Arabidopsis thaliana: one gene and its partners. The protein of the gene in region 2 interacts with the protein of the main gene of each other region in a pairwise test. Each region holds a gene or a part of one and is shown on either strand. Other genes may lie near its edges.

The links. The genes of interacting proteins can lie anywhere in the genome.
Region 1: the proteins of DRIP2 (region 2) and AT3G09980 interact in a two-hybrid assay, tested with the Arabidopsis thaliana proteins (one large-scale study listed by BioGRID).
Region 3: the proteins of DRIP2 (region 2) and AT1G80000 interact in a two-hybrid assay, tested with the Arabidopsis thaliana proteins (one large-scale study listed by BioGRID).

The regions. Positions count from the first base shown.
Region 1 is NC_003074.8:3,067,499-3,072,065, reverse strand, and holds AT3G09980 (ankyrin repeat 30A-like protein (DUF662)), read right to left. Parts: upstream 2,977-4,567; 5' UTR 2,709-2,976; coding exon 2,439-2,708; intron 1,814-2,438; coding exon 1,703-1,813; intron 1,607-1,702; coding exon 1,526-1,606; intron 996-1,525; coding exon 921-995; 3' UTR 535-920; downstream 1-534.
Region 2 is NC_003071.7:13,024,209-13,031,207, forward strand, and holds DRIP2 (DREB2A-interacting protein 2), read left to right. Parts: upstream 1-1,702; 5' UTR 1,703-2,235; coding exon 2,236-2,353; intron 2,354-3,772; coding exon 3,773-3,872; intron 3,873-4,296; coding exon 4,297-4,624; intron 4,625-4,769; coding exon 4,770-5,182; intron 5,183-5,287; coding exon 5,288-5,338; coding exon of another isoform or gene 5,339-5,342; exon of another isoform or gene 5,343-5,630; coding exon 5,631-5,703; intron 5,704-5,975; coding exon 5,976-6,155; 3' UTR 6,156-6,453; downstream 6,454-6,999. UniProt on the Arabidopsis thaliana protein: E3 ubiquitin-protein ligase that acts as a negative regulator of the response to water stress. Mediates ubiquitination and subsequent proteasomal degradation of the drought-induced transcriptional activator DREB2A. Functionally redundant with DRIP1.
Region 3 is NC_003070.9:30,090,941-30,097,857, reverse strand, and holds AT1G80000 (CASC3/Barentsz eIF4AIII binding protein), read right to left. Parts: upstream 5,052-6,917; 5' UTR 4,664-5,051; coding exon 4,197-4,663; intron 3,886-4,196; coding exon 3,786-3,885; intron 3,621-3,785; coding exon 3,415-3,620; intron 3,330-3,414; coding exon 2,650-3,329; intron 2,427-2,649; coding exon 2,324-2,426; intron 2,086-2,323; coding exon 1,966-2,085; intron 1,566-1,965; coding exon 1,513-1,565; intron 1,382-1,512; coding exon 1,321-1,381; intron 1,190-1,320; coding exon of another isoform or gene 1,180-1,189; exon of another isoform or gene 1,144-1,179; coding exon 1,116-1,143; 3' UTR 953-1,115; intron 868-952; 3' UTR 535-867; downstream 1-534. Other genes in the region: FRS8 (FAR1-related sequence 8), read right to left, coding at 1-102, 207-293; AT1G79990 (coatomer subunit beta-2), read right to left, coding at 5,909-5,931, 6,210-6,375, 6,509-6,638, 6,879-6,917. UniProt on the Arabidopsis thaliana protein: Core component of the splicing-dependent multiprotein exon junction complex (EJC) deposited at splice junctions on mRNAs.

The sequences.
Region 1 (4,567 bases), on a different chromosome or scaffold from region 2:
CATGAATAATCATTATATCAGGAGATGCTAATCAAATGAAAATAAAGGCTGCACAAAACAATAAAGGAATTTTTTTTGTTTCTTTTACGATGATATCTATGTCTCCCATTGCAATAGCCACATCATCATTGATTATTTGATCATTAATGTCTTATTATTGCACCCTCCATCAAATAATGAACAAAACGTCTGGTTTATAATTATAGTATGGTTTATATAATTTTCTCATTAATCATATGATTTATATTTGATATTAATATCAGATAAATGGTTACATGTCAAAATGTTGAGGACATATTTAATGATAAACAAATAAAGGTTTGCCTTCTGGATATTATTTTTATGAATTTCCTTCCTCATGAAACAATCATTTTTCTCTAACGGTCATTTTGGAATAAAACCAAATTCGGAAAAGGTCGACATATAGATCACATCTGATCTCGTGATGCCATCTTTTTTAACTTAACCTACCGATCGATCGCACAAGTTACACAATGTTCTATTAATCTTTATAGCTTTCCCAGCGCACATGATATAAACAAATTTCCACTTTTCTTAATACCTAACATTTTGTACATTATGCTACAAATGTCAGAACAATAGTTTTAAAGAGAGATAAGTAAAAAATCAATTGAAAGGACAATAAAGAGAGAAAGATAGTTCAGAGAAAAGAAGAAGAAGCGTTTAGTTACAAACCTGTCTTGATGAGTATTTTTTGAAGTTACTTCCTAAAAAAACCACATTACACTTATAAATTCTCCAAGAACCCCTAACAAAGATAATAATTGTAGTAGTAATATAACACACGACGATTATAAAATATAAATTACATTCACCACCACCAAACCTAAACGTAGAGTTAAAACACTCAGAGAATGATCTCTGGCCCAAGAAGTTCTTGTACTGTCTTGGATTCAAAGTCAGTGTATAGAATCTATGTTCTTGCTTAGCTCTTCCAGCTTCTTCATTCTCATCTTTTCGCTTTCTCCCACCAACTGCGAATCATTCGAATCGGAAACCGTTAAGTCAAGAACGCAATTCAAGTTAAGAACACATAACAAAATGAATATATTCGACACAGATCAGAGTGGACTGGTTTGATGAATATGTTCAGTTTACAGACAAATTATGTTAGAAAATGGCAAGAACGATCGATGTAACTCATACAAAAAGAAGACACTTAGATAGAGTTTGAAGGAACTGATTCCGCTAACTATGGAGATGACTCACACATAGCTTTAAGCAAACACACAGACCGGTCCAAGAACTCAACATCAAAATCTACTAAACACTGAATCCGCAAGATCACAAATATGCCTAAAACTATCGGTGTTTGATGCATGTCTCTCAGAACAGAGCTACAAGACAATAATTAGCTTAATGTGTTTATCCACACAAGCAAGGGTAATGTGAAAAAATAAAGGACAACACAACCAAAAATCAGAGAGAAGCAGTACAATAACTAGACCAGTTAACTCAATCATTCAAACTCAACGAAAAGAGACTTGAGCATTTGTTGACTAACCTCCATTAGCCTGGTGATTAGCTGCACCTTCTCCCTGTTCTTTTCGTTGAATGCTTCAAGAGCTTCTTTGTACTCTCGTTCCTGCAAGTTGCGTAAATAAACCAGCTTAGCATCTGAATCCTCAACAAAACATATTTTAAACACAGGTCAATGGATTTGATTATGTTTTAGCCTTACCTTTTTCTGAACTGTATGGCCCAATGGCTTTAATTCTTTGTTGACAGAATCAATCTTCTTCCTAACCATAGCAACTTCTTTCCTCATGGGATCAGCTAATCCTTCAAGTTCCTGAAATGCAGTTTAACCACTGAGCTTCTTAGTCATCAACATAACATCACCCAGGAAAAGCAAATTGTTCTTTTCATAGAAAGGAAAGAGCTTTGATCCACAGAGCTAATCTCTATCAAGTAGTGCTATAAATGTAGAAACTTTCACTGTTCTGCCCATAAATTGAGGGGAAAAAGTACTAAAACCAGAGACTAAGACCAGATTCATAAACTTTAACATCACCCAGAAGAAGCAAATGGTTCTTTTCACAAAAAACTTAATCCAAATAGCTTATTTTTAGCAAATCCAGGTTTACTTGCTATTGATCATTTAAAATCCTAAAACAAACACAAAAGCCCCAAAATTTTCTCCCCAAATGGCATAAACCACACAAAAACCAAAGGAAAATTATAAAAGAATTTGTTCAATGCAATTGTCAGATCTTGAAATTTCCAACAGTTGGGTCCTACAATTTCCCCTTAAACATGAATTAAATCCACATTCTATACAATATAAAAACCCCAAATGTTCAATTTCACATCCCAATCCAAAAAATTTCCATAACAAAAACCAAAATTGAAGCACAATTCTCCAAAAAAAAAACAATCTTTTTTTTATATATGAAATAACCAATATAGATACATACCTCACGGATCAAAGCAAGACGCTTAGTCTCTTCTTCGACACGACCAAGCTGAGCTTGAACCCTTTCCCTAATCTCCATCTTCTTCTTCTCGATCTCTTCTTCTTTCGCTCTAAACGCAGATAACGCAGTTCTAGACATCTCCTCATCTTCCTTCGACATTTGGCTGCTGAAACTCATACTTCCCGACAACTGAGCTCCCAATTGTCGGCTATGCACCGCCGGAGCCACCGTCGTCGGCTGCGACGTCTCTATTGCCTGCATCTCCTTCATCTTCACTGAAATCTCCTCTCTTTGACTCTCTCGTTACTGATCTCTCTCTCTCTCTCTCTCTCTCTCTCTGGGTCTAGATTCTTCTGTGGTAGAGAAAATAGCTAACTGAGCTTTCTTTTTGAAACCCAGAAATAGTGCTCTGATATGAACATTTATATAAAGATAATTACACATTTTCCAGAAACAAAAATATATTAAATGCTATTTTATTCGTATAACGGGAACTTTTTAATAATAATTAAAATATATTGAAACGTATATTAAAAAGAGATAACAGGCAAAAAAAAAAAGGTTATTAGGTGAAATTACCTAACTGCCACCAACAACCGATAAAAAGATACAGTGAGGGTTTTAAAGAAAAAATCAAAAATAAAAAGTAGGAATAAAGGGAAGAGAATCTGATTATTGTAACCGTTGGATCTTTTTATTATCTGATGAAGGAAGCAAAACGGGTGACCCGTAGAATCCGGTGACAGCTCGTTAACAACTCAGCTGTCCCGTCTAAACCGTCAATTCCGAACCAAACTTAACCGGTAATTTAATTCTGGTTTTCCATTGGTCCATTAACATTTACCAATCGTCGTGATTTTTTTTTCTCTCTCTTTAATGACTTGAATTAGGTATTCCATTGCTGAGCATACACACTATTGAGTTATTTTTCATTTATTAGAACCACATTACATAATTGTTGACAAAGAAAGAAACTATGGTCCACGGTTATATAACTTATATTGAAGAAAATTGAGAAAATGAGAATAATAAAATGATCTTCTAATAATAAATATACTATGAGAATATATATCCCAATATTCTTTACTAGTATAAATTTTAAAGTATTATACTAATTGTGATCCAACAGAAAAATAATAATAAGAGAGGTAAATCTTATAGGTTTTTCGACGTGTATCCGATAAAAGTGGTCAAACTTAATTTACTTTGGTAAATTTAGAGGTACTCAAGTAAGCGTTTTGCTAATGAATTTGTTATTCTCTTTCGATAAAAGAAAGTTATCAATAGAAAAAAGAGAGAGGAGAAACGTAAAAACGAAGGTAAAGAGCAGTAGCCCACTCAGCCAACGGCTTCAACTACGGGCCTTCGAAGCAAGAATATTTCTTTTTTTTCTTCACTTTTTTTTTTTCCTTTTCTCTCTTAATGGAATTTACTTTTATTTCAATGTAGTATACTATAAATTATTCCTCTAAGCTAGCCATCATATCAACTCGATGTATAACTAGTCACATTGTTTTAATGGTGGGGTATAAATCTTGTCCTCATTAGCCATTTTGAAATTTTGTTTGTCCCACAAATTAGTATATACAAAACTATACTTACTTAGTAGATCTTTTTTCAATTAATGGATGAGCTTTGGCAAGCTAAGGTTTTGTTGTTTTAATTAGCTAGGGTTAGAAAGATAGATTACCTACTAATCGACATAAAACCAATATATTGTTTTACAAGTCTCTAATGTCTTGTATGTAGTCTAATAATCAAAAACAGATTTCAAGTGTGAGTTAGTATTATACGGTTTGGTTGATTGAGCTCGACCTGAATTTTTTTTATTTGTGATCAAACTGAGCTAAGGTCCGTTAACTTCCTTAAGGAATAAACTTGTTCGAAGCAAAGCCAAATCGTAGAGATTAGAATGTACGGTGGGGATTGAGCCGATCAAAGACATAGAAAGAGGGTGATCCTTCCTTACTCGACGTGTGCTTCTCTGCCACAAAGGACCCACTAAACCGGTGTTTGTGTTATCGCGTGCACCAGATTATCATTTGGAGCCCATACTTTTTCTTTAATTATTCTTTTATGGATCCCAACTTGTCCTTGTTTTCTAAGTAAATTATATTAAAATTATGTAA
Region 2 (6,999 bases):
TTTAATATTTATAAATCAATGTATTTATTTGATTTTTATACGGAGAGGATTAATGTTGAGATACAGATATAGTGCGGCGCGGTGTACATGTGCTAGCAAAATTACTAGTTTACTAAGATTTGACTTCTTTTGATTGGCTTAGTGGAAATTCTCCCAAGCCACCATAGATGTTTTGACACGTTGATAGAATGTACTGTCAATGATTTTCAAGAGTGGGAAATTCACAGCTTTGTACTTTGGAGTTTGGAGGAACAACTGGAATGTTTGAGGTCGAATTTGGGAATTGAAATTTTTAACCCCTGGATGAGTTTATATTTGATTGATCTCTCTATTATGGGGTGTTGAATGTTATTTACAAAAAAAAAATAGTCATTGTTTTATGGACGAATAAATTATCTACTTGTCGTTTTTTTACCGAATAACGCATAAATTAGATTCAATACGGATAATTCCTAAAATAAAATAAAAACGGTTAGTTCTTCTAACATACGTTACTATAACAAACGTACTTGACGAGTTGGCATAAAAATGTATTTCTACTGTTTTAAAAGTAACGTACGATTCGTCTTGCATACTGTGACGAAATATGTAAATTCTTTTGTCGCTTAGTGATGATGTGAATTATTTTGATTCATAAAGTAGAAACTCGATACATACCTATTAACTAAACATGTATTATGTTGTGATTCATTTTTGCCTAACAAATAAAATTTATTAGCAAGAACCATTAAAATTTCATACTAATTTTGGATACTAAAATGTTAGATTGATATATAAGAAAAGTATATACTCAAAAAGATTTAACAATTTACCAATATTTAGTATTGGAATCAGTGTAGTGTTTGTTAGTACATGCTTTTCTACATTTAGAAACAGTTAAATTATAATTGCAAAAGGAAGCAATATTGAGGTATTAATAAGGTTTTACACTTTTACTTCAGCTAGCTTTGAATTTTAGAAGTTTTATGGACTATTAAATTATCTACTTGTCGATCTTTCATAAAAACTGTTGGCTCTTGCGAGAGATATGTGACCTTCCAATTGATCGCGAAGTGATAAGATGTATTCGATTTTTTCAGCTTATGCCATTTTTACAACTTTTCGGAAAAATGTTTCAAAATATCCATTATGAATTTGACATCCAAGTTATAAATTAGATAAAATTTACTTGAGATAACATATGGACATATAGATTTTACTTATTTATTAGAGTTCATTAACGAAAAATTATTGAGTTAAATATAGACATCTTTAAACTCGTTAATTTTAAAAAGAAATAATAAACAATATATATATATATATAAATATTTTATTTTCAAATTTTATTTATTTAAAGGGTTTTAATTTTTATTAACAGTTATAATATTTATGATTGTTTCCGGTTACTTTGATGCTATTTTCTCGTAATTCCCTTTTGTACATATATATTTAGAACCAAAAATTCAATCATTGAGAAGCATACTCTCTGTCAAGTGTAATTGATTCCTCCTCTTCATTTTTTAATTCTTCATTTCTTAAGTTTTATTAATTAATTGACTCACCTCTTCATCTTGTTTATTTCCAAGTAATTTTCCTAATGATGTCAATAAACAAAAATAAAAAGATTAAAATCACGCAATATCAGTAAAAAAGGAGAGAGGGTTAAATCGGTGGTGGACTTTGCAGCCCTAAACCATTGTTTCGCCTCGGAAAAGCCCATTTACACAATTGGGAAATAAATAAAAACAGAGTAAAGAAAGGAACGTCTTTTACTCTTTACGGTATCGCTCGCTTCTCTTCTTTCTCCTCAACACGAAGACCCCTCTTGCCTCTTTATTAGAGAGACCCCTTCCTTCTTCTTCTTCACCTTCACCTTCTTCCTCGATTCAGATCGTCTCCTCCTCTGTTTTATACTCACCCTATTCCTTCGAATCTCTCTCCATTTTTATCCCCAGATTCTCCCTTCTTCAACCTCGTCGACTCTTCTTCATCACTCTATTTCTTCCGATTGAGACTTCTTTCACTCTGATTTTCTTCGACCCTTTACGGATATATTCGGTCTTGAGTCTCCATCGGATTTGGATTTGAATGTAGGTATCTCGCACGAGAGTTGTTGTTTAACGTAAATCTGGGTTCTTTTTTTTGGTGGGTCGTTGTTTTTCTTCTACATGCAGTTTTGGGGATAGTACGTGCGATTCATCGATCAATCCTCGTTTAGATAGACATCAAGGATTTAAAGGAGTCGTTAAGAGAGCAATGGAAGGAGACATGGTGGCTAAAGTGAAGAGAGAAACGGTGGTGGCATGCATGACTTGTCCTCTCTGTGACAAACTCCTCCGTGACGCCACTACCATTTCAGAGTGTCTTCACACGTGTTAGTTCCTCTTTCCCCTTCTCGATTTACGTTTCGATTCGATTTTACCCGGTTTCTAATTTTCGCAATTTCTCGTCTTTATCGTCTTCTTTGATTGGTTCTCTGTTGTGTTTTTTTTTTCTTCCTCTTGCTGATTTGGATTGAATATCTGCATGATTCTTGTTGTTAGTCTCGTATGCCACTTATGATCTCCTCTATGTCTCAGTCGATTTGATGAAACTCGAGTCAATGAATAGTTTTGTTTGGTTTTCTCAACTAAAGTAATAGTTGTTGTTGAGCAGAATTTGTAATCTTTGTTTACATTTAGACTGCAAGAATCCTCCTTTATTCGTCTCTTTAGGTAAAATTTGTGAGTGTCTTCTTCTTCGTCAAAGATGGTTTGGTCAAACTCATGACGTCCAAATTTGGTTTTGGCTAATCATGTTGTTAGTTAGATTCAGTTGCTTTGTTATATCCAACTTGTAAGTTTTGTGTTAGGAAGTTCGAGTAACAAGTGCTTTAATCTACTCTCATCGGTTTAATGTAAGTTAATATTTGGATTAAGTAGCATTTATCAGCCTCTTTCTTCTACATGATATTATACAATTAAGACAGTTTAGATCATTTTCTGTTTGGAATGGCTTAATTTATTTCTTTTAACATACAATCCAGATTAGTAGTGAGTTTTCTGCATGTTGAAGTATTTGCTGATCTCTGTAATTTATTCAAATTTAGTTTATATTCCTTTTGGAGTCTAAATCAATCTACCATTCCAAGCTTTACACAACCAATTCTTTGTTACCGTTTACGGAGAAATATACCTTGTTACTCTGTAATTATTTTACTCATTCCATCTGATTTTAAAAAGGTAAATGTTAACAGTTCGGTTCCGTTGTACAACTGACCAACTGCTTATCTCAATTTAATAAAATTTTCAGAACGCCCTGCAGAATCTCTTTTTGAGTTACTGCAGTGCCAAAATTAGGTGTTAAATGCTTCACGGTTTTGTTTCTGGGGATGAATGCAGTATCCCCATCAAATTTGTGATTCCATCTCTTTTGTTTAGGTTGGTAGCTATGGATTTTCTTGATTTTAAAACCAAACAGTATGATGCTCATTAACCACTTGTCTACAAGCTTCTGCCATGACAACTAATATAACTTGATGCAGTAGAGACCATACCAATTATCGGCCTTGCTATAATGGATTTGGTGGAAGGAGTCCGATAATCTAACTTGCATCTAATAAATTCAAACTTGGCAGCGAGCCAACTTGCATTGAACCTCAAACATTATGCTATTCATTCTTTACTTAAACTTTTGATCTGAGAAATTGTTTGTTTTTATGTAAGTTGGTCGCCTTTATTACAAAAGATTTTGTTCTTACTTGATAGTTACTATCTATTGAAATGAAACAAGTTCTTATATCACTTTTATGCAGTTTGTAGGAAATGCATTTATGAGAAAATCACAGAGGATGAGATAGAGAGCTGTCCAGTATGCGATATTGACCTCGGGGGTACCCCACTGGAGAAACTAAGGTAAGTTCTTCTTCTTCTTTATTCCTTACACAATTTTCTCCTCGGTCTTGGTTTAGCAGTGATTCCTTGTATAGACTGTTAGAAGCCTTTTGGCTCTTACTGTTGATGAAACGAAGTTTTCTTACATAATGCTGAAAAGTTGTACATGATTATGCTGAGGTGTGCCACATATGGAAGGTTCTTCCGTAATTTTTGTGGCATAGTGTGAAGTTAATCAAGAAAAGTCATTTCGATTCAGAAGCAGTTATGACCTGAATATGTTGGCTAGTTTAATACTTTCGCTGACACCAACAATTTTTTGTTAGAACCTGAAACAAATCTCTTTAGTACTACACTCTCTCTTACTAGTTGGTCACCAGTAAGAGCTTTGTTGGTGGCGAACTTATTCATTTTCTAAAGAACCACTCTTATGTATTTATTTTAGGCCTGACCACATTTTGCAAGACTTGAGAGCCAAATTATTTCCTCTAAAACGTAAAAAGGAGAGAGCGCCTGAAGTTGTGTCCTCCATCTCATTACCTGCAAAGAGGAAGGAGAGGTCTATCTCGTCTTTGGTGGTAAGCACACCCAGGGTTTCAGCACAAGCTGGTACAACAGGAAAAAGAACAAAAGCTGCTACGAGAAAAGATGTAAGAGGTAGTGGTTCATTCACTAAGAGAACAGTGAAGAAGGAAGAAGAATTTGGAGATGATCATGTAGAGAGCGCAAGCTCGCCTGAAACACTTAAAAAGTTTACTCAGAATAAAAGACAGGTAAAGAAGGTGATCATTGCAGTTCTCTCTTTACCTTTATGTTTTACTTTTTCTCTTTACCAAGTCCAAACACAACGTTATGACTGATTATGGTCTTTATATAGTTCCCCATACATTTATTTATTTATTAATTCTTTTTTTGCAGTCTTCATATGCAAATCCTAACCAGTCCCTCTCTAATCGAAGAAACAAGGATGTTGATGAACCATGGGATTCCAAATTACATCTTTGGAAACCTCTAAATTTTCTTGTGGATGTGGCAAACGGAACAAAGGACCCAAAATCTGAGCTTGGAAACGCATCCCACAATGATGTTCAGGGGAGTAAAACCAAAACAAAGGATCATAAAAGAAAGTGTAAACTCGAGGAAGAGATCAGCAATAACGGTGATCCTACAACATCAGAAACTGCTACACTTAAACGAACGCGTCGGACTCGTCGCAAAAGGTCATCTACTTTTGGTGATTCTAGAATTCCACTGTTACCAGGTGCAGCAAGCCTAAAACAGGAGAGGAGAAACGGTCATGTTTGGTTCTCACTTGTAGCGTCAAGTAATCAGTGAGATTCCTGTTCTGTATCTGAGACTCTGAGTACTTCTGATATTCAATATTTTCTGTGTCTTTTCATTTCTATCTCTTAGTGACACGGCTTTACTGGTTTCAGGGAAGGAGAAGCATCATTGCCTCAGATTCCAGCAAACTACTTGAGAATAAGGTAAGTTGTTCTTTTTGCTTTGCTCTGTTTCTTGTCACTAAGTTTTTATATGTCAACTGTGAAGTCTGTGATCAAATATTACTTATTATTGCATTGATGGCTTTGAATTCGATTTCGCAGTTGTTTTACCCGAGTTTCCATGTCATGTTTGTTTTCTGTGGTATACGTTTCTTGATAAAGCCTTCTTCTTTTTTGGCCCATCACACCTAATCCTTGACTGGGAGGTGTCTATTTTCTTGTTTGGGAGAATTATATTGTGCCAGAGTTGATCCCCTGTCTCATTATATGGTAGGGATGGAAATATTCCAGTTTCTTTTATCCAAAAGTACCTCATGAGGAAGCTTGATCTCAAGAGTGAAGATGAGGTAAGCAATCTTATCTTATGCAGTGGCTACTTTTCTGTTTTATATGAGGTATCCACTCGGTCTAATATGGAATCACATAGACCGTAGTTCTATACATTGGTTCAAGTCTTGTGCTTATCAATATGACTGTAAGGTCCCCATAAATGTTTAAACTAAAGTTAACTCTCCCTTTTATTTCCGACTTGTGTACCGGGTGATATCTTATGATCTGGGACTTTTTCGACCCACCGGTGTTGAACCTTAACTACTCTATGTTTTTTTTTTGTAAACAGGTAGAGATAACATGTATGGGAGAACCAGTGATCCCAACGTTGCAGCTTCACAGCTTAGTAGACCTATGGTTGGAAACAACTTCTAAGCATCAAAGAGTCGCTGCGTCAATAGGTTCATCTGCAAAGGAATTTGTAATGGTGCTAGTTTATTCTCGGAAGCTCCCTGAATGCAACAACTAAAGAGCTATTCATTGAATCTTTTCTAGACCGAGAAGAAAGAAAAGTGCAGGAGCAGTGGAATGTCTTGTGTAGAAAGAAACTTAGCAATTTATATTTATTTAATTGTAATCTTAAAATTTGAAACATTGGTGTGAGACAGACACTTTGTTTGTTTATCCAAGAAGATTCAAAAATGGCTTTTTAAAGGAGATTGTGTCCTTTTTGGATATTTGAATGTATGATTAGGATAATGTTGTCATTTCTATAAATATTTGTTTCCTTGTTTGGACTAAATGGAGAAGTACACGGAATCCTTGTGAATCGAATGACTTAGCCATTATTGAGAAGTCAAAAGAAAAATAACCAAAAAAAAACTTGTGAAGTGTACCTTTAATACAAGAATTAAAGAGAGATGTATAAAAGTTTTCTAACAATTTTGTTCACCAAAAAAAAAAGTTTTCTAACAATTTTTAATACAAAATGCAAAATTAAAGATGAATTTTCTTATTTCTTTTTTTAAAACATAATTTTGAAGAAATTTGGTTGTCTTTTTGCATTTGTTTCTAGATATTTCTAAACTGTTGGGAAATAAAAAAATTTGCACACAAAACATAGTTAAATTCACGTGGTATTTATAGAGATTTACTTCAACCAAATTTGGATTTTGGGTCATTGTTTTATGGACGGATAAACTATCCATTAGTCAAATTTCCACAAAAATAATATGTGAATTAGATTCGACAAGGCTAATTCCCCCACAACATACGATACTAGAACAAACGTACTTGACTACTTGACGTAACAATGTTTCTCTTACTGTCTTGAAAATAACATATAACTCGTTCATCACCAATTTTCTTGTACA
Region 3 (6,917 bases), on a different chromosome or scaffold from region 2:
ACAACAGGCGTCATCATCATCTTCAAGGTCAATATCGAGATCAGGGATTGGAGGAGGAGCAAGGTCATCATCATCATCATCAACAACCAGCTGCTCTTCCATCTGAAGACCATCAAATTCAAAATTGAAATCGAAATCGGAAACCCAAATTGAAATCAAAATTTGTAGTAAATAGAGAGAGAGAAAGGAAGACAGTAGAAACCAACCGCCGAGATGCAGAGATTAGGGTTGGGCGAGAGAGAGTGGTCGGACGGTGACGGTGACGGTGAGATGTAGACGCTATTACCGATCATCTTCCACTAAACTAAAAACTAAAATCAACAAACAAACAACAACAATCGTTTCATCTCAGAGGACGCTGAGCTACCTGAATCAACGGAGACTCTATCCCTTTTTTTTTTTTTGCTGCGCCAAGGAATAAAGTTTCTATACACTTGGTTTGTTGCATCTATTCTATGCGGTCTGTTTTGTTTTTGTCGCATAACTAAATAACCAGAGCGGAGGCATGTCTTTATATATATGGTAACAATTCCTCAATGACTCATTTCTCACGAATCGGGTAAATTTGACTGAGCACCACCACTATCCCCTTGCGTAAAATATAAAACATAGACAACTAACTACCATCAAAACTCAACATGGGCAATTCTTGGGGGGACTTCGCAGGCGTACGAATAGGGCACACAACTTTTGATAAAGAAGTTGACAAACGAAAACAGAATAACACATATCAACATTACAAAATATCAATTTGAACCCAAACGGACAAAAGAATAAATTACAGATGAAGGACGCCCACGGCTCAAGCTCAAGCTCTCATAACAACGAAAACAAAACAAAAATTCTTTTCAATTGCACAACAACCTCCTGAAAACAAAACAGCAAACACAAGTTCAAATTATAATGTGGTTAAAACCTCTCTTCAATTGGTATCTTGAGAGAAATTGCGTACCTAATAAAAATAGGTAACAATAATAGCAGCCCAAACGGCTTCATAAAGCAGTTGGAGAAGCACCAAGGGCCTGCTGCTCCTAAGGAGCTCTTCTCTCTCACCCTCCTCCTTTCACTCCACTTAGTCAAATTAGATGACCTTCTTCCTTTCCACTCTTCTTTACTCACTTGCTAAAGCTCATCTCCGAGTATCTGCACATCCCTCGTCAACATGTGCTCGTTAGTGTTTCATTTCATCCTGGACCAATATTAACATTTCATTTCCACAAATATCTGTATCCAACTACTCCTGTGGTACTTTGATTTCAAGGTGGTTTCACGTCACACTAACACTGACCGATAAATAAACTAGATTGCTTCAAAACTCACCTACGAGGCTGCTTGTTTGGGTTGCTATTTGACCGTTGAGAATTCCCATTGTTCGTAACCTCTACATCAATAAACCCCCATACGAATCAGTCTCTCCATGTAATCATTCAAATTTCTTATTCGCCAAAACACAACAAAATCTTCTGAATCCATTATAACAACCCCATTTAATTGGCAAGAGTTATTACTTACCAGGTCTCTCCATGGGCTCTTCATCATTAGGATTATTGGAACTGTTCTCTTGGCTGCAACAAAAAATCAAAAATATAAGGTAATTGGGTACTTGAGCTCAAATTATATGCTTTACTAGACGCTCATAATCAGAGATGATTGACATGGTTACATGAGTGCCCAACCAAGAAAGTGAGTCTGTTTAATGAAAACTACATGTTTCTGGGTGTACATAGTCGAGAAACTACTAATCTAAGCACTTAAGAAATGTAAATCTAACAGGTAACAAGCATTTTGCAGTGGGTCTAGAATAAGAGGAACCACAAATCTAAAATCTCACATACGTTACTTAGTTAAGGGCTTAAAGCTGCATTCCCATACTACTCTTCCTCTAAGGTAAAAAGCAAAGAGTCTACACATATGCATATGGAAATGACATGTTGATTAACAATACTGAGAAAATTATTTCTAAACCTGGACGATCCGGCAGAGGAAGGTAACCCTGGTTTGTCTGCTTGGTAAGAACCATCAAGGACAGTATAAGGTGGACAATATGAACCCCCTAATGCTCCAGGGCCAGCCAAAATTGGCAGCCTGTCAATAATTTAAGAAAATAATAGCAGTAATAAGGACCTACTATAGATAGAGAAATAGGGAAATCAAACAAAAAACAAACAGCAGACGAGTGAAAGCAATAATTCAGGTTCTGTTTGGGCTAGTAAAAGACTAGTTACAAGATTAAACATCCTCTCAAATTACAAAAGCATGCAGCAAGTCAACTAAGAATGCACCAAATATATAACTTTTAAAACATAGCTGTGGAACTGCATACCATGTCATCTCAGGATTTCCGGTACCATGTTCTGGTTGGAAATAACCTGGAAGAGCCATTCCAAAAGTTGGAACCCCACCATGCTGACCACCGAATTGCATAACTGAACATGAAAATGAAAACAAACAAGTTTAAACTAGTCAGGCGTGCATATTAGCACCTGTACAAAAAGGTGCCGTTCTCAAGCGGCCCTAGACATGGGCAACCAGGCCAAGCGGCTCAGCATCAATAGCTCTCAATTTCACTAGCATGCATAGATTGATTCTGAAAGATGTCTTTCAACCATTACAATGTAGGATGAACAATGACATTCAAGAACAACTTACCAGGTAGAAAAGCAGGGAAATTTGGATTGCCGTGACCAGCTGCCATCCCGGCAGGGCCCATAAACTGTGTCCCTCCATACATAAAAGATCCCCTTCCACTAGGTTGGAGAGACCCTTTTCCCTTGGCAACCAAAGCACCTGTTTCTACGGCTGACTCTATTTCACCAGAAAGATACGGATTTTCTGATGATCCGGTTTTTGGAGGAGAAGAAGGCAGCAAACTGATAACAGCCGAATGTTGATTAAAAACCTGACCAGGAAGTTGAGTACAGCTCTGGTCAGTGCCTTTAGGCATTCCACGGATTTGCATCGGCGAAGAAACTTTGTCACCTTGATTAGGAGATTGCTGGTAAAGCACTTGCCCATGAGGAGGTACACCTCTACCATGACTTGTAGTCTGAGCAGTGCGTCCCCACAAGGAGCTGGATTTTGTATTCCCAAACTTCTTTCCAGTCGGATTAGGGTTTTCATTAATGTGCAGCCTACCCATGCCAGCTTGTACATCCTTTTGTGCCAAGTTATTGTTGGATCTTGAAGGATAAAATGGAGGAGAAGCTGAATTTAAACTTGAAGCAAATACATTCTTTTTGGCTTGGATGGCTTCAGTCTCTAAGGTAGCTGTTTCTGTTGGTGGACGCCCTAAATCAACGTGTGACACTTCCACAGACGAATTTTGGGACCTAAAGATTCCGTAAAAAGACACAACAATTAGAGACCTAGAGCCTTCATGTGTTGACTAGAGAGGAAACAAAATTAAGGACTCACTGTTTGGTTTGCACAGAAGGTGCTTGATTCCCATTTCTCAATGCAACCTCATATCTTCTGGCCCCCCTCCCTCTCGTGACAGCCTTCGGAAACTGATTTTGGTGTCCATTGCCAGTAAATTCTTTAGAATTGTTCCCCCGAGACTGTCCACGGTCCTGACCCCTACCCTGACCACGACCTCTGCCTCGGCCTCTCGAAGTCCTCCTCTATGTTCACAAGTTTAATTAATCAGCTTTCAAAAGGAAAAAAAAAAGGAAAAAGAAAAAAGAGGTGGCAAATGTATAAACACAGCAAGAGGAAACAAGTCGATGAATACAAATATATTTATGAAAAGGAGAGAAAGAGAAAGAGAGATGATCAGAGAAAAGTACATCATATTGCTGTTTCTGTGTATTCATTTCCTCGAATTTGTCATGTCCCCACTTTCTTTCATCTCTGGATTGCCAGAGCCTCCTACCACCACGCATTCGCCTACAGAAATAAAAAACGAAAACCTATATCGGTTGGCATTACCATGTAACTAAACAGAATGTTAAATGGAAAAATAGCAGTGTGATGGCATCTCGGGTAGATTCATACATAAAGATTCACAATCAAAGTTAAAACATAAAACCAAAGCAGTTGTTCCAATCTATCTGAACTCTGAAGTACATCATGAGATTGAATGACGGAAAGTCGTTTGCTAATTTCACCTATCAATGTACTCTACCTCAATAGTAGATAGATACATTTGCATAGTTTGGACAAAACACTACCTCCTCATAGAATCAAAAAGAGTTTACCTATTAGAGGCGGCATCCAATTCCTGAAATCTGTCATCATGCATATAGAAAGCTCCAGCAGTAGGCACTGCAAAAGGTTCCTTCTTCTTTTGTTCCTCTCCATCCACAAGATCAGTGGCGGCAGAGTCATCGGTCCCATTGCCGGCGACAATTGTCTTGTCATTATTATCCGCAATGTATTCGACATGGTCATCAACTTGTCCATAATCACCATCTTCCTCTTCGTCGTCATCATCACCATAACTATCTTCTATGTGCAATCCTTCATTATCATCAGAGTCGACAACAACAACACCACTGTGTTCATCGGAATGAATCTGGATTGCTGCTCGCAGCTTATCATGGTCGTCCGCTTCTTCATCATCCTCATCATCATCGCTGGCTTCTCTCCTCCGTGTAGCCAAGGAGCGGTTCAACTCGTCGGGATCACTCTCATAGTCGGAGTCTTCAACGCCATCAGGGGCCATCAATCCCTCTAAATCGGAGGGCCAAACCGAAAACCTAGAAGAGGAATAAATTGAATAGAGCAATCAATCGGATATGGGACAAACTAGTATATCTCTACGGAGAGAGACGACGATACCAGGAGATCAGAGCGAGAGAATCTCCTCAGTGTTTCTTCATGAGAGATCCGCAGATAGATAGATAGAGAGATAGATAATTATAATAAGAAAAAACCTCTTAAAGATTATTAAGATTGATTGGGTTTACTTTGTAGACGGGAAGACTCTTTCCGTTGGGTCTTCTTATCAAATCGAATGGGTTTTTTACTACTTGTAGACTGATGATGATGCACCTACAACATTTGACGCTTGAGTTCTTTTTTCCCAGTTTTTGGGAATTATCCAACTTGACTACTTTATTAACTTTTTTTTAACCAACAATACTAATTGATAAGTTTAATACAAATTAGCTCTACCTTATCACTTTTTCTCTCAACTATTGTTGTCTATTAATCCTGACAAAAGTGACCATGTTAATATAAATAAAACATGTGGTTTCTATATAAATCAAGGGTATATAACTCCATTGGTCAACAACTTGAATATCAATCAAAACCGGAAAATTAACTTCCATAGGTGCATGCAAGTGTGTAACTCAATGGAGTAGTTGAACCTATACACAGTTTGCAGTAAGAAGCAACAAGAAAATTTAAAATCATTTCCAAGACAAAATGGGTAGAAGAATAATGATATGGTGATGGTGATTACGGACAGTGGAAGAATGCAAGGAACTTTGTTTTGGGTCCTTGTTTGCTTTGAGAGATGTTTCGAGATGCGTCTCCTCCACAATACTAATAATAATGCACCATGCGTTATCCTCTGGCTCTTTCCCAACTTATCCCTTCACTTTGATTATTTCCAATTAAGTTTTTTGCTACTGCTATTGAGTTTTGCAAAAAAAAAAAAGATATCAACTACATAACCTATTGAATCGAAAGTCAAAACATATTATATGGGTGAAATCTCAGTTCAAAACAGATATTCTACAGGTGAAATCTCTCATAAGTTAAAGCTACATAAGAGTCCCAAAACCCCCTTTTTTTTTAATATGTATCTGTATTAAAAGCACAAAGCGGAAGCTATCAATAGATCAGTTTTTTAACAATGGAAACTAATCTCTCTCTGTGCTGCCTCATTTCTCTGCTGAATGTATCAAGTTTCAAAGCCAAGAAAATATCTATCTGTGTATGTCTTCACTCTTCACCAACCCTACTCTTGTGGCGGTGTTAGAACTGTACAACAAACAAATATTTAATCAGTCCACGGATTGATAAAAAAGTTAATGGCATAGAGAAGCACTATTTAAAAGACAGTCAACATCAAAAGTAAGATGATCAGTAAGACGAAGATGGGAGGCAGACAGATGAGGAAACATTGATGGACAGATGCAAACGCAAATCCTATGATATATGTGCAGATGGCAAAAGGATATTTTGGTGCAGCGACATCTTATAATCAATTGATAACCACAAATGCTATAAGGCTGATGCGGTTCCTTCACTAATCTTACCCCACTGTTCTTCAGACTCGTTACCATTAACTAGCACAGCACCATCCGTAGAGTCAGCGTCCACCACAACAGCCTCTTCTTCCACATTCTGCTGTCTCCCATCACTACTCTCTTCCTGACGATCCTCCTCCTCCTCTTCCTCTCCATCTTCCCCCTCTTCCCCAACCTGTTCACAACAAATGAAGCAGCGACAGTAGAATTAATGATCCTACCATTGTCCACCATGGCCAAGACCATTGGATTGGATATCATGGGTAAAAGACAATCCTCTTCAATGCATGTAATGTAAACATGCATACCTCGTCGAGAACATCCCCTTGCTCAAGTCGACCCTCTTCCTCTATTTGCATAATTCTAAAAGCATCCACTAAAGTTGTATGATCTCTGTCTGCATGACTACAATAATCCCCAGCAGGAGGATGGACGCCCCTGCAAGATAAGTCAACAAAAATACTTTGTTTATGAGGATCCTGAAAAAATGAAATCGACATTCGGCTTATGTTTATACGGGTATAAATTCAAATTATAAGCAAATACATGACGGCTACCTTGCTATGTAATACAGACACATGACTCTAAATGGCTTAAGTCCCACAATTCAATTAAAAAGGTTTCCTCATAAGCACTGTTTTTAAGAATAAGCTAATGACGGCAACGACGAAAAGATACCTCGTCTCTGCAGCTCTATTTTCAAGGGACAGGGCGACT